Drosophila melanogaster: one gene and its partners. The protein of the gene in region 3 interacts with the protein of the main gene of each other region in a pairwise test. Each region holds a gene or a part of one and is shown on either strand. Other genes may lie near its edges.

Region 1 (2,924 bases), 8.7 Mb from region 3:
GCTGCCCGGGAGGTGGAGCCTGCCAGCAGAAGGAGTTCAATCCAGGCGAGGTGGATGAGAGCCACCAGCGGGTTCTGCAGACAGTGCGAGCCAGTACCCAACCTCGAGTGGAGGGCTGCTACAAGAGCCAGGTGATCTATGTGCCAGCGGGAGCTGCTGTCAATAGTCAGGGTCAGTTGCGACCAAAGAATCGACGCACTTTCGAGCGCAAGGAGCAGGTCCTCTCCAGATACCCCTACAACTAAATGTCCTCTCTAATCTTACTCACCGAATTTCACATCGAATTAGTTGATATGCTTAGTTGTCAGTTTGTTGTTTGTTGTAAATAAATCGATCATTGTTTAAATTTTAAATCACGCATACTTACCGTTTCGGGTGATTAATTTAACAAGCCCAAAAGTAGGCATACAAGTCCATTCGATTCAGCAAATATGTTAATCGCATAACCTGTTGCATGTTGCTCAATCAGCTGGTGATGGTGATATTTTATTGTGGGATTGCATATGGTCGAGCCATGAAATGCTAATTAGCTAAATTGATTACACAGCGAGAAATGGGGTCGATGTACCTAACCACAGATGCAAATGTCTGGTCGTAAATGCAATTGGGAATATAGTATGACCAAAAAAAAACTATTAAAATAGATAAGAAAAGGGAGTTATGGGTTCGCAAAAATATTTTTGATACTAATTAAAATTTGATTGACATATATACATAGCTAATTACGCAGCTTATTATATGTATAGATAATATTTAAATGGTTCCAGATCAATAAAAACACTTTGTAATTAATCAATTTCTCATTACCAAACCACATTTAGTTTATGAAAATTGTATGACTTTAGTCATCGTTGGCTTGTTCAGTTACACAAATGTACTCCAAGGCAGCAAAATTGTTTGTGCTAGTTATATTTTTTGGAAATATAATGGAAGTAAGGATACAATAAAATTAAGCATCTTACATTATAAAGATGCAGTCATTTGTTTTTAACCCCAGAATGCCTCCAAGTTGGAGTTTACGAATTTTAAGTGTCATGTGAAGGACCCGACTTATTTGAGCTTCGAGTACTGTTTCATAAAATCCGTAAATCGAACCTATAAGTACATATCACTCAAGGCCAACATGTACGAAGTACCTATTACAAACGCATCGGTATGTATTAAAAAAAAATGGCTTAAAAATCCCACTCACTAAGCGTATATATTGATGTAGGCAAAACTTCAAATTTCGAGAAGATTTCGGTCCTATATGCCCATAACCATAGCCGCCAGCATAGATGTTTGCAAATATATGGCTTACAAGAAGAACTTGGCCAATCCGATGCTCAGACTTTTCGAGGAGATCACCAAAAAATACACAAATACCAACCATAAATGTCCCTATGATGTGGGTTAATGAGAACTTTTCAAATGATTATTTCTAGATGTTATACAATAACATTTTTACAGCACGACCTTATCATAGACAGACTTCCCTCCAAATATCTGAGTGAGCACTTTACCAACATCCTTCCACTCCCACCTGGGGATTACAGTTTTAACAGCATATGGTACAGCAGAAACATAGAACGGGCCACCATCTCCATATATTATACTGTATCATAATCAGAAGCAGCGGTTTAAAATTTATTAAAATTATCAAACAATTCTACGTTATTGCTTATGTTAATATTGTCGCCTTTTTCTCTCTCTTAGTGATTTGATTATGTCATAAGCGTTAACATAATTGCATAATAGGTTCTAATAGGGCAGGGGAATACCAAAAATTAGCAGAATGGAAAGAGCTTCTTCGAGCCAGTCAGTTTTGTGCGCCCGAAGCGACGAGACATATTAAGAATCGGAAACGGAGAACCATGAAGACGATTTCGCTGCTAACTTTTGTGGTAATAGTCACAGATCGAAAATCGGAATACTACATAACTCGTTTTCCCACTGATGACATCAAACGCTTAACTCTGCTAGGTGATGATGCTCGGAGTGGCACTGAGCTTGGTTTGGGCCGGCCCCGATGATGGCTACCTTTATGACCAGCCATCGGGTGAGCAACTTCAGGAACTCCAGGTGATCTCTCCCCCCAGGAAGCTCCGGCTAAAGCCACGTGTCTACCCAGGGCATCCCTCTCAGGCTTGCGGAAACGTGGAGGCGACGGATCATGCCGCTGCCCTGACCACCTACCATGCCAACCGCCCCCAGCCGCGTCGCATTTACAATCACCAGGAAGTCGAGGTGGACAGCTCGTTCTTTGAGCCCACGCCGGATCGGATCGAGGAACTCAAGCGTATTCTCTTGGATCAGCAATGAAATGTGGTTTACTTGGATGACGGAAAATTTGCGTGAAATAAAAGTCTGCTTATGTGAAAGAGATTGGTATTGTTGATTTTAGTTATATTCTTTAGTACAAACACATACAATTTATTATATAAACAAAACATTTACGGTGATCCAAATTTGACTTTGTGTTTATACATAACATCAAGATAATTAATTTCTTAAGTGACTCATGGCTATAGCAACTTTGTCTCCTATTAAGGAAACATATACGTTTATTTATTGTGACGATATTTGGTTTATTTCACAGTTCCCAATTTATCTTTCGGTCTTCTTTTTATTTTGAGTTTCTTTTGATATGCATCCATTGGATGTCAGTTTATAAAAAAAATTCGCTTAAAATTGTGTTATTTTTAAGCCATGCAATTCAATTCCAATTAATCCATTTACTTGTCTAAAAATACCCACAATCGTCTCATCCCTGTTTTTATTCGCCCATTTTGGCCTGCATTCGGTGATAAAGTGAATGTTAATGGATTTTGGCCAATTATATGGAATTAGATGGCATCAGCAAAAAAAAGTGGCTTAAACAGCATTCCGATCAAAATGACGAAAATTTGATTGCAGTTAACAATAAATAAATAATTTATTTGTGA
Region 2 (4,837 bases), on a different chromosome or scaffold from region 3:
CGCCAGGCAATCCAATTATGTAATACGATGTTTGTGGCTAACTTTTGGCTCATTCTCTGTCCAATTCCGGATACTTAGAGCACCACGGCAGTGGCGTGGTTGGAGTTTTGTGCCTGCGTGGATATTCCGCCGCTGCTGCGCCGCCGGAAGATGGTCCACGTCCACTGAAGACCACCAATCCGGCTGCCATGAAGCGCGGAACTGGCGGACGTAGCAGTTTCAATGGGATCGTGGCGACCGTTTTCGGTGCCACCGGTTTCGTGGGCCGCTATGTCTGCAACAAACTGGGCAAATCTGGCACCCAGATGATCCTGCCCTATCGCGGTGACGATTCGGATGTTATCCGTCTTAAGGTCACCGGTGATCTTGGCCAGGTACTCTTTCACTTCTACAACCTGGAGGATCCCGCCTCCATTCGTGACGCAGTCAAGCACTCGAACGTGGTCATCAACCTGGTGGGCAGGGACTTCGAGACCAAGAACTTCAAGTTCAAGGATGTCCATGTCAACGGAGCGGAGAGGATCGCTAGGTGAACATCATAGCCAGCATTATTTGCCTGCCCACTTCTTCATTCTAACTTTGCATGACGTAAACCACTTTTATTTCTTCAGGATTGCGCGCGAGGCTGGCGTGGAGCGCTTAATCCACCTGTCCTCTTTGAACGTGGAGGCCAATCCCAAGGATCTGTACGTCAAGGGCGGCAGCGAGTGGCTGAAAAGCAAGTACGAGGGTGAGCTTCGCGTACGCGACGCCTTTCCCAACGCCACGATCATCCGCCCTGCGGATATCTACGGATCCGAGGATCGCTTCTTGCGCTACTACGCCCACATCTGGCGCCGTCAGTTCCGCTCGATGCCGCTGTGGCACAAGGGAGAGAAGACCGTCAAGCAGCCCGTCTACGTTTCGGACGTGGCCCAGGCCATCATCAACGCCGCCAAGGATCCGGACAGCGCTGGCCGCATCTACCAGGCTGTGGGGTAAGTCAATCTCCGAGTCCAAGTATTTGTACCATGTACATTTTCTTAATTTCCTTTATTCTCTGCAGACCTAAACGCTATCAGTTGAGCGAGCTGGTCGACTGGTTCCACCGCCTGATGCGCAAGGACCAGAAGCGCTGGGGCTACATGCGCTACGACATGCGCTGGGACCCCACCTTCCTGCTGAAAGCCAAGCTGAACAGCTTCATCTGCCCCGGCACCCCGATTGGCGGTCTGCATCCCGCTCGCATCGAACGCGAGGCTGTCACCGACAAGGTTCTGACTGGTGTCCCCACGCTTGAGGATTTGGGCGTCACGCTGACCACAATGGAGCAGCAGGTGCCATGGGAGCTGCGTCCCTACCGCGCCGCCCTCTACTACGACGCCGAGCTGGGCGAGTTCGAGACTCCCTCGCCGCCCAAGTGCATCGAGGCGCGCGATGAACTGCGTCTGTTTGCCTAAGCGGAGCGAAGTAGCTGTCTGTGTTGATTGGAAATTTTTAGTTGGAATTGTTTAAGGCGATGCGTCAATAAAGAGAAGTCGAAAGACCCAATGACAACGAAGGAAACTTATATTTCCAAATATTATATAGACATTGATATATGTATTTATTTCGTGCATTTAAATATAAAAAAATTTATAAATACTTTTGAAAAAAAAGTCAAATGGCTAGAAAAGTTTGATGTCGGAAAAAAGATTGGCAGCTCGAAATACCTTTGGTATTTTTCGGTATCTTATTGAGGTGACATCGCTCCGGCAACTAAATCAAAACAAATGAAATCGCTGTCATCGTCTGGCAACGCTTCGCCCGTCCGATTTTTCTTCCTTTGCGACCAGGAGCTTTTCTGCAGCAGTTTCCTCCGAAACTTACGCCCGTGCAGATTTATGGCCGGAAAATCATAGTACGGAAAATTCGATTTCCCAAGTTTTCTGAGTCTGTGTGTGTGTGTGTTTTTGGTGTGTGTAAAGATTTTCAACTTTTCAGCTTGGTTAAGCGGTGAAAAAAGAATATATCAACAACAACACAAGCGCGCGCCCGCCTCTCTTTTCGCGTTTTTGTGCGTGTGAGTGAGAGTGAGTGTGATAATTATGGCATAAGTGGCATACAAATTATGATAGCAGAATTCCCACGGCCGACGACGAATGTGAATTGGGAAAATCGAAAAAGCAGGCAAAGCCAGGAGGCGGATAAATCGCCGAGCGAGTGCAGCAAATCGATCAGCTGTGACGTCGACGGGGGCAGAAAGTTTGGCCAAAAGAAAAGGTCAAACAAGCAGCAGCAGCAACAACAACAACAACTGCACGCGGAACGGAAAGAGGAGGAGCTCTGTCACAAGCAAGGGGTAAAGGATAAGAGTAGTAAGAAGAAGGAGAATCTAGCAGGCGAGGAGGATAAGAAGAAAAAGCAAGAGGAAAGGGAACATAGCAAGAAGAAGCAGCAGCTTCAGCAGAAGCAAAGGGCAAATAACAAGAAGAAGAAGCGGCATCAGCCTCCCCGTGTACAGAGGAAAAAAAACCTCGTCTTATTTTTAGATTATTTACGCCAGTTTGGTGCCGTCGAAAGCGAAATTGTCGCTGTTGAATCAGCCGGCTGCTGTGACGTCAGAGAAGCAGGCTGCCATCACGCCAACGGTAAATACGCCGCCCATAACGGCACTTGGAGCCATTTCGAGCATAAAACCGAAATTTATGCTCTATATCGTCACCTGGAGATCGGTGGCCCGCTCGAACAAGTGCAACAGCAACAGCAGCTGAGGGTCTGTCCAATCAAGACCCGGCTGCGCTTCGAGATGCTCTTTGCCGAGCCACCGCCCACCCAGGGCCACGCCCCCACCGCCCACGGTCACGATCATACGGCCGATGATATGCCAGATGCGCCACCTGGCGGCGAGCCGGTGATCCCAATGCTGCAGGATCAGCAAAACAGCGAACTTATGGCCGGTGAGTCTAATCTAAAGATATTAAGTTAAAAAAACAACAAGCGGGCTTTATTTCCACAATAATTTACAAATTATTACTTTAATAAATAACGCAATTTAAGCAACAAAGTTTTAAAAGCCTATCACTATGCATGCTAAAAAAAATATATTGCAAACCTAAAGGGATATGACTCATTAGATAAAATGAGTCAATAATAAAAAGCTATCCCTCGAACGATATGTATGAAATATATCCAAACATTTTTATAATTTATAATTTAATACAGACAAATAGTGCGAGATTTGTATTTATATATTTATACCCTTTTCTTGTAGACTAAAAGAGTATTATCGGCTAGATAAAAAGTACGAAACGGGCGGGGAGGTAAGCATTTCCTGCACTCGGAAAAATTGAGAACAAAAAAATAGAGGTCGGTTGCGCTCAGCGTACTCAGTGAATAAATAAACCTTCTTGGTTTCGAGACGAAAATGATCTCAACGTTTATATTTTTTATTTTTCGGAAGAAGTATTGGGTGTAAGATTGTCGAAGAGTCTGAAAAAAGAGAGGAAGACAAATGAAAGCAAAATCATTTGCAATCTGAGAATGGTTTGATCTCGATTTGAGTATGCTGAGAATGATTAGATCTTGGCTAGATTTTAAAATCGAACTTCTCAAAACGAGAACATTTTGGTCACGTCCACTGGTATCGGCAACAAACTGCAAAAAGCTTTCATGTCCACAATTTTGAATTAATTTCTTCACAAATTTGTTTTTGTTTTTCCATTGCTAGCCATGTAATGGGTATGTGATAGTCGAAGAACTCGACTAAAGCGTGCTTTTTCGGTTTGGTATACATATGTATACTTACAATATTCTCATATCCGCACTTCTAAGTTGTGATTGTGATTTGCAAAAATGTCACTATTTATTCACAGTCATATAGAAAGTTTAGGCATGCATACTCAACCCATATTTTAAGACACGAAAATATGTTAAATAATTTTTAATGGCTTACCTTTAAAAAGTTCTAAAAGTAGATGGCTTTACTTGTTGGCTTGTAAATCGGAACCTTATGGTTCTATTCTCACTAACAAGAGAGGGAAATGTTTGTTATTATTAATAGCTTGGATGAATAATGTTAATATATTTGTGAAAATTTCAGCTATTTTGAAAACAAACTTTTAAATTCTCTTATTTGCGTTTTGCTTACGATCTCTTTGACACATCTCTTTGCTTTCTGCGAGGAGTTCTAGTTTAAACGATATATATTTTAAACGACAAAATAGTGTAGTATAGTTCGAGTATCATGTTTTTTACAGTGCAGCCATAACTATATTTTCTATAAAACTGAGGCGTATAAATTGGATTTAAACTGGAGTTGTCAGGCTATTCTGGCGTTGGCCAGTTCGCGGACAGAACACTAAAAAATGGCGCAGTTGAAGTTTCTTAGACCCCTGGTGAAAGTATTGGTTAATCGTTCTGGAATCGGAAAAGCAAGTGTTTGGCACGCGGTGATCGTTACGTTTATGCACTACTTCTCCTGGGGTCTTCTCACCGTTCCCTTCATCGAAAAATTGTCGGGATCGTTTGGGAATCGCGTCCTTCTCGTCGATGGACTGGTTTATGGAGTTAGAGGAATCCTGGGATTTGTGACCACGCCCGTGATGGGTGCCATTTCCGATTTTCATGGCCGGAAAGTAGTGATGCTACTGGCAGTGGCAACCACCTACGCTCCAATTCCATTCATGATGTTGAAGAGTTGGTGGTTTTTCGCCATTCTCACTGTGAGCTCCATCTGTGGCAGCACTTACTCCTCTTCATTGGCCTATGTGGCAGACACAACTACTGTGGAGAATCGTTCAAAAGGCTATGGCATTGTTGCGGCCAGTTTTGGCGCAGGAATAGCCTTTTCACCATCGTTGGGGAATTACTTGATGAA
Region 3 (4,983 bases):
TTATGAAACATAAAAAGTGGGGGAAAAATTAATTTGCCTGCGCTAATTTTTTTTCCTATACAGCGCAAATATTTTTAATTAATTCATAATATTTTCTTTAGCTTTTTTTTCAGCGAGTTGTTTATCAACAAGTTGCGGGCTTTGAAGTTTGCCGGTCCAGAAAAAAAAAAAATGCTTGAACGCGGCTGGGGAAATTGTTAGATGGTCGGCCATTAAATTTCCTAGACGCGAATCAATTTTCCAGTCGCTGCAGTTCAGCGAACTGCCTTCGAAGTTCTGGGCGTTTGTGTATTTCATTCTTTTTTATGGAGTATCGTATAATTTTCATTTTGATGCCTTTTATGACACTTCCAAAAAGAGTAAAGAAACGGGCGCTGCTTTGACGTCAGTTTTCAGGTTCGATTTCATCTCCCCACTTGGCATAAAACATCCGAAATGGCCTAGGTATTTATGATTTCGTTTATGCATTTCTCTGTTTTATTGTTTAATTTCGATACTTCGATTTGTCTGCCTGGCCGGCGGCGTTTGAATTGAAAAAGTTAATTGAGCTGTAAAAATTATAAAGATGTAAAAACCCCCAAAACTATTTGGCGGCTGAGATACGTGCGCTGCAGATAGCCACTTGGGTCCTACCATAACTTCCAGTTGAAACCAGCTGGTAAACAAAAGCGTAACCAAACTACACTTCTTCGATATTTTACGATCGTGGAATGAATAGCTCTCCGTTGCCCGATTATTTCATTTCTCTTCATCGAGGGTGTTTTCTTCGCATTTTACGATTTCGGATCGCATCAAATCGGATTGGATCGTGTGGAGCATAGAGCAAATCTAGTGCAAAGTGGTTATGAAAAGATCTTACCAGATCACCTGATCTCGACTTTTATTTGGACTTACTAAACGTTTGATCGATGAGAAAGGGTACAGCATTTGCATTTCACTGGGTGAGCCGGGGATGAACTTCGTCTTTTGTATCTGTAAGTATTTTAAACACAAAGTGCGATGTATGTAGGTCATAGTTTGTAGGAATCTAGTCTTATGAACTTTTCATAACATTGTAATTTCTATTAGGACATATTAATAGTTTCAGGTAAATAGTCCTCCCACTTAACTGTAGTTATGTCCACCCTGGGAACCCATCGATCACTTCCCACCCCCACTCCCTTGCATTATCTTCATTCACCGCTGTTAACCCCTAAATCCCTAATGATCTTATCGACTCCTCATTACCAATCGTTACCCATTCAGGACCTATGCGCCCCACTCCCCTCCCCGAAGGGACTCCAAATACAGCTGCAACAAGTGGCAGGTTTCTAACGATCCCGAGAGTCCACCCCTTTGGCTCGAAGTCTTTGAGGTGTCATAAATCCACATGTGGCTGTAAAGTGTTACTAATTTCTGTTTCTGTTTCCATTTCGATTTATGTCCCAGCTCTTTGCCATCTCTTTAAGATATCCTGGAGTTTTGGGTATAGAGGGTATGTTGTATTCGTCCTACATTTGGTGGCAGTTATTACAAAACCCCATTGGATTATTAAGTTTTATAATTATGTATTAATAGGATCCAAGATATACATACAATCACTTTTATTTTTCCCTAATTATAAATTCCTAATACTAGGTACTCAAAAGTCGAACCATTGACGTTTATATGTTGCCACTAGTTTCTCGGCGACAGTCGTCACCCCCGCCCCCATTTTCGATTCCGCTCTGGGGCCAACTAATTTCACATGAACATGTTAATATTTACACGCGTACCGCCGCGATTTTTATGTTCGCCCCCGCCGAGTACTGCTGCCCCCTTCCGCTGCCACTGCCCCTGCCCCTGCCCCACTCCAAAATCCCCACCACCCCCAAGTCACAGCAAACGATCCAACCAACCACCGTCTTCAGCTTATCGCCACGATCGCCTCGAAATCCGACGATTGCCGAGCTCGTCTTGGGGAACCAGACCAGCGATCCCCAAGATCAGTCGCAGTTAGTCCGTCAACCTCGTCGCGTCTCTGCTATCCGTACTACTCGAAAGTCCCATTCAAAATTCCCCGAGATCTGCGTGGGCTCCAAATCGTGATTCAGTGACTCCAGTATTTAGATTGTGAACAGCGGATGATTTAGTTTAAGAGGAGATTTAAGACAAGTGCCGCCGAAAATGAGTGACAGTTCCAGCTCCAATTGCTCGAAGGATCGTGCTAAGCCGGTGGAAACGCTGGTTTTGGCAAACTATGCCCTGAAAGCCGAGCAGAAGAAGGCCCAAGGACAGGGTGGTCGAAAGGAGGACGAGCGCATCACCACTGCGGTTATGAAGGTCCTCGAGGGCTACGACTGGAATCTAGTCCAGGCATCAGCCAAGTAAGTCCTTTTGAAAAGCCAGACTTGTGGTTTATGCCTTTCATATGCCTGCCATGATACAATTAAAAGGGTGTTGTTAATAAGGCTATTTAAGGGATGTGTTAATCCAACAGCATAAAATGGTTATACAGATAACCAAATTCAGAATATATATGTAGCATTCCGATGAGCACAACGAGTCCTCCAGTGGATCCGAAGCCGGCGTTAAGCCGAGAATGACTAACCAACCTTCGATGAGTTCGCTGATTAACACAATTTCCAGGCTCATATGCACATACGTGGGTTTTCTTTTATTTAACTGGATAAACAAACTTGGCGAACCGCAAAGGGAAAGGAAAATATATGGGCGAAAGAAGGGAATACGATTGGGAATTCGCCGGCATTTATGTAAATATAAATGAATTTACACATTCACACATATTAGACAAACAACAAACGACGGCAACAACAAATTGGCCAAAAGGCAGCAATAATAGGAAGAGGCAATAACAAGCCACCAGATACAAAGATACGAAATACAGGCCTCAATAAATGCGACTTGCGGACTGGAACTAAATGTTCGAGATGAAGACGAGACGACGACGACAAATCAATTCAGGCATAAAAAGCGAATAAATATGTTTTTAGCATTAAGACGCTAACTGCTAACAAGGTGGGGGGATGGGGATGGGGATGGTGGATGGGGGATGGGGGATGAGGGATGGGGGCAACCCCAGCGGATCTCAACTCAAGCGGACCGGGGAGGTGACACTTGGTTCCGTATTCCAGAGTACATGTAGTTCTGCAGGTCGTGGGAAAGACGGGCGGCCGCAGCGGCTGATCTCTCTGATCCCTCGGATTCCAGATTCACCAGATCCCAGATCCTCGGTAGCTCTATCTGTCTGTCTGTTTGACCGGCAATTAGCAAATGTCGGGGCTTCCACCTCCGGTCTTTGAGCAGGGCTCCATTCTTATCTGAGTTTGTCAGCCGCCTTCAGTCGCTTTGTACTCAACGGCGCTTATCACTGGCTGGGATTGCACTGGAATAAAAAGTCTAGTAATTAATTTGATTTGTTTTGAGTGGTGATAAGTTGCTTAGTTTGATGCTCATCAATTTTAACTCGAATTTATAGAACAAGTTTTGAGCAAGTGCACATAATCAAGAAGGGTTTCACCCTTGGATGAACTCGAAGAAAAGCCAGATTCAGTATTGATTTCCCTCAGTGCCGCCGCCTCCGTCGAGTGGAGCTAATTTTCAGCTGTCCAGGGACAAACATCCTTGGGCGCAGTTGCCCCCTCGTTGCGAAATGCGCAGAAAGCGCTGTCAAGAGCACGTGTGTGTTTGCACAAGGATATGAGCGCCATTTCCTTTCCTTTATCTATCCACGGTGGGGCTCCTCGGAACATACCCCCCAACCACCATAGCACCCACCATACCCGCTAGGTGCCCTCCTGCACTCACTATCCCCCAACTCTCTGCAAATTGTTTACCTTGCGCTTTATGAGCCTTGTTTATTTCCACTTAAAATCGCTTAAATGCACATCGCTTGCCTCCAAGTCCCGCTCACTTCACCAGATTACCACGTATCCCTGTCACCTTAAAAATTAAATCTTTTAAATGGTAAAAATTGCTGTAAGTGTTGTGTGGGAGATACGTTTAATTGCTTCGCTGTTTGCCCTTATTGACAGGAGAAATTGATTCGAAATTGCTTTGCATTTCGCTTGGAATTTCGCTAGGATGAGGTGATAATTCAAAGCACTGGCATATTTACCTCGGTGTCTCTTAATTATTTTACTAGTTAGTTGCAATCTTTAAGTGCCCGATGATTGATATTGAACATATCTGAAGTTTTGTGACTTCCTTCTGCCAACTTTTATGATCCAATTTTGGCGAAGGGGAGACCGCACAATATTATATTGCTGTTTGATTTGCTTAAATTAATTTCGCATGAATCACTTGAAAACTGTTACTTAAGAGCAACACCAAAGTGCCGAGCAGCCACTTGAATAGTCAGACGATCGTTGTAGCCCGATATAAACTCATATATGTATTGTAGTATATACACATATGTGTGTGTGTGCCATGGGAGGGCCGGGGTTTGTTATTAAATAATACATACACCATGTGCGGAACCCCTTCTTATGCGCCCTGCTCTATTTACTTGGCTCGATTAGATATGGGGCCCTACTACTAAGGAGGAGGAAATGCGAGCGCGTCGGAGGAGCCGCCACTTCGGGTAGGACTTTGGCGACGCTATAAATATTTCATTGCTTATCTGCGTGTCCGGCCCGAGGTGTTATCACTCGCCCATGGAGTACCCCTCGGCCAGGTGGGCAGAGCCAGAGCCAGAGCTCCCCGGTTCCCAGCCCCCAAGCCGTCCGATAGTTCCACATTCGGCGCTGCGACGAGTCAATTTACATGGCCCCAACAAGTCATCTCGGGCAGCCTAACCAAACACTTCCCCATGGTGAAAGCTTCACTGGAGGCCTCAACCACATCAGCCCATGCAACCCAAATGGGGCGACAGTGGGGCAGATCCATATCCAGCGGAATTATATATTTAGACTTGAAGGCCAGGGAATGAAGACATACATATCATATTATATCAAACATACCTCGGAATTGTTATCAATTATTTGAAAGATAGTTCAACCCTTT

The links. The genes of interacting proteins can lie anywhere in the genome.
Region 1: the proteins of Sox100B (region 3) and CG13862 interact in a two-hybrid assay, tested with the Drosophila melanogaster proteins (one large-scale study listed by BioGRID).
Region 2: the proteins of Sox100B (region 3) and CG32425 interact in a two-hybrid assay, tested with the Drosophila melanogaster proteins (one large-scale study listed by BioGRID).

The regions. Positions count from the first base shown.
Region 1 is NT_033777.3:22,330,197-22,333,120, forward strand, and holds CG13862 (uncharacterized protein), read left to right. Parts: upstream 1-1,794; 5' UTR 1,795-1,883; intron 1,884-1,962; 5' UTR 1,963-1,965; coding exon 1,966-2,301; 3' UTR 2,302-2,363; downstream 2,364-2,924. Other genes in the region: CG7080 (uncharacterized protein), read left to right, coding at 1-245; CG33721 (uncharacterized protein), read left to right, coding at 873-932, 998-1,153, 1,214-1,387, 1,450-1,605.
Region 2 is NT_037436.4:20,495,547-20,500,383, forward strand, and holds the start of CG32425 (uncharacterized protein), read left to right. Parts: upstream 1-1,776; 5' UTR 1,777-1,879; exon of another isoform or gene 1,880-2,089; coding exon of another isoform or gene 2,090-2,918; intron 2,919-4,289; exon of another isoform or gene 4,290-4,325; coding exon of another isoform or gene 4,326-4,837. Other genes in the region: ND-39 (NADH dehydrogenase (ubiquinone) 39 kDa subunit), read left to right, coding at 79-529, 612-977, 1,046-1,439; CG18281 (uncharacterized protein), read left to right, coding at 4,326-4,837.
Region 3 is NT_033777.3:31,063,294-31,068,276, forward strand, and holds the start of Sox100B (Sox100B), read left to right. Parts: upstream 1-1,959; 5' UTR 1,960-2,145; coding exon 2,146-2,345; intron 2,346-4,983.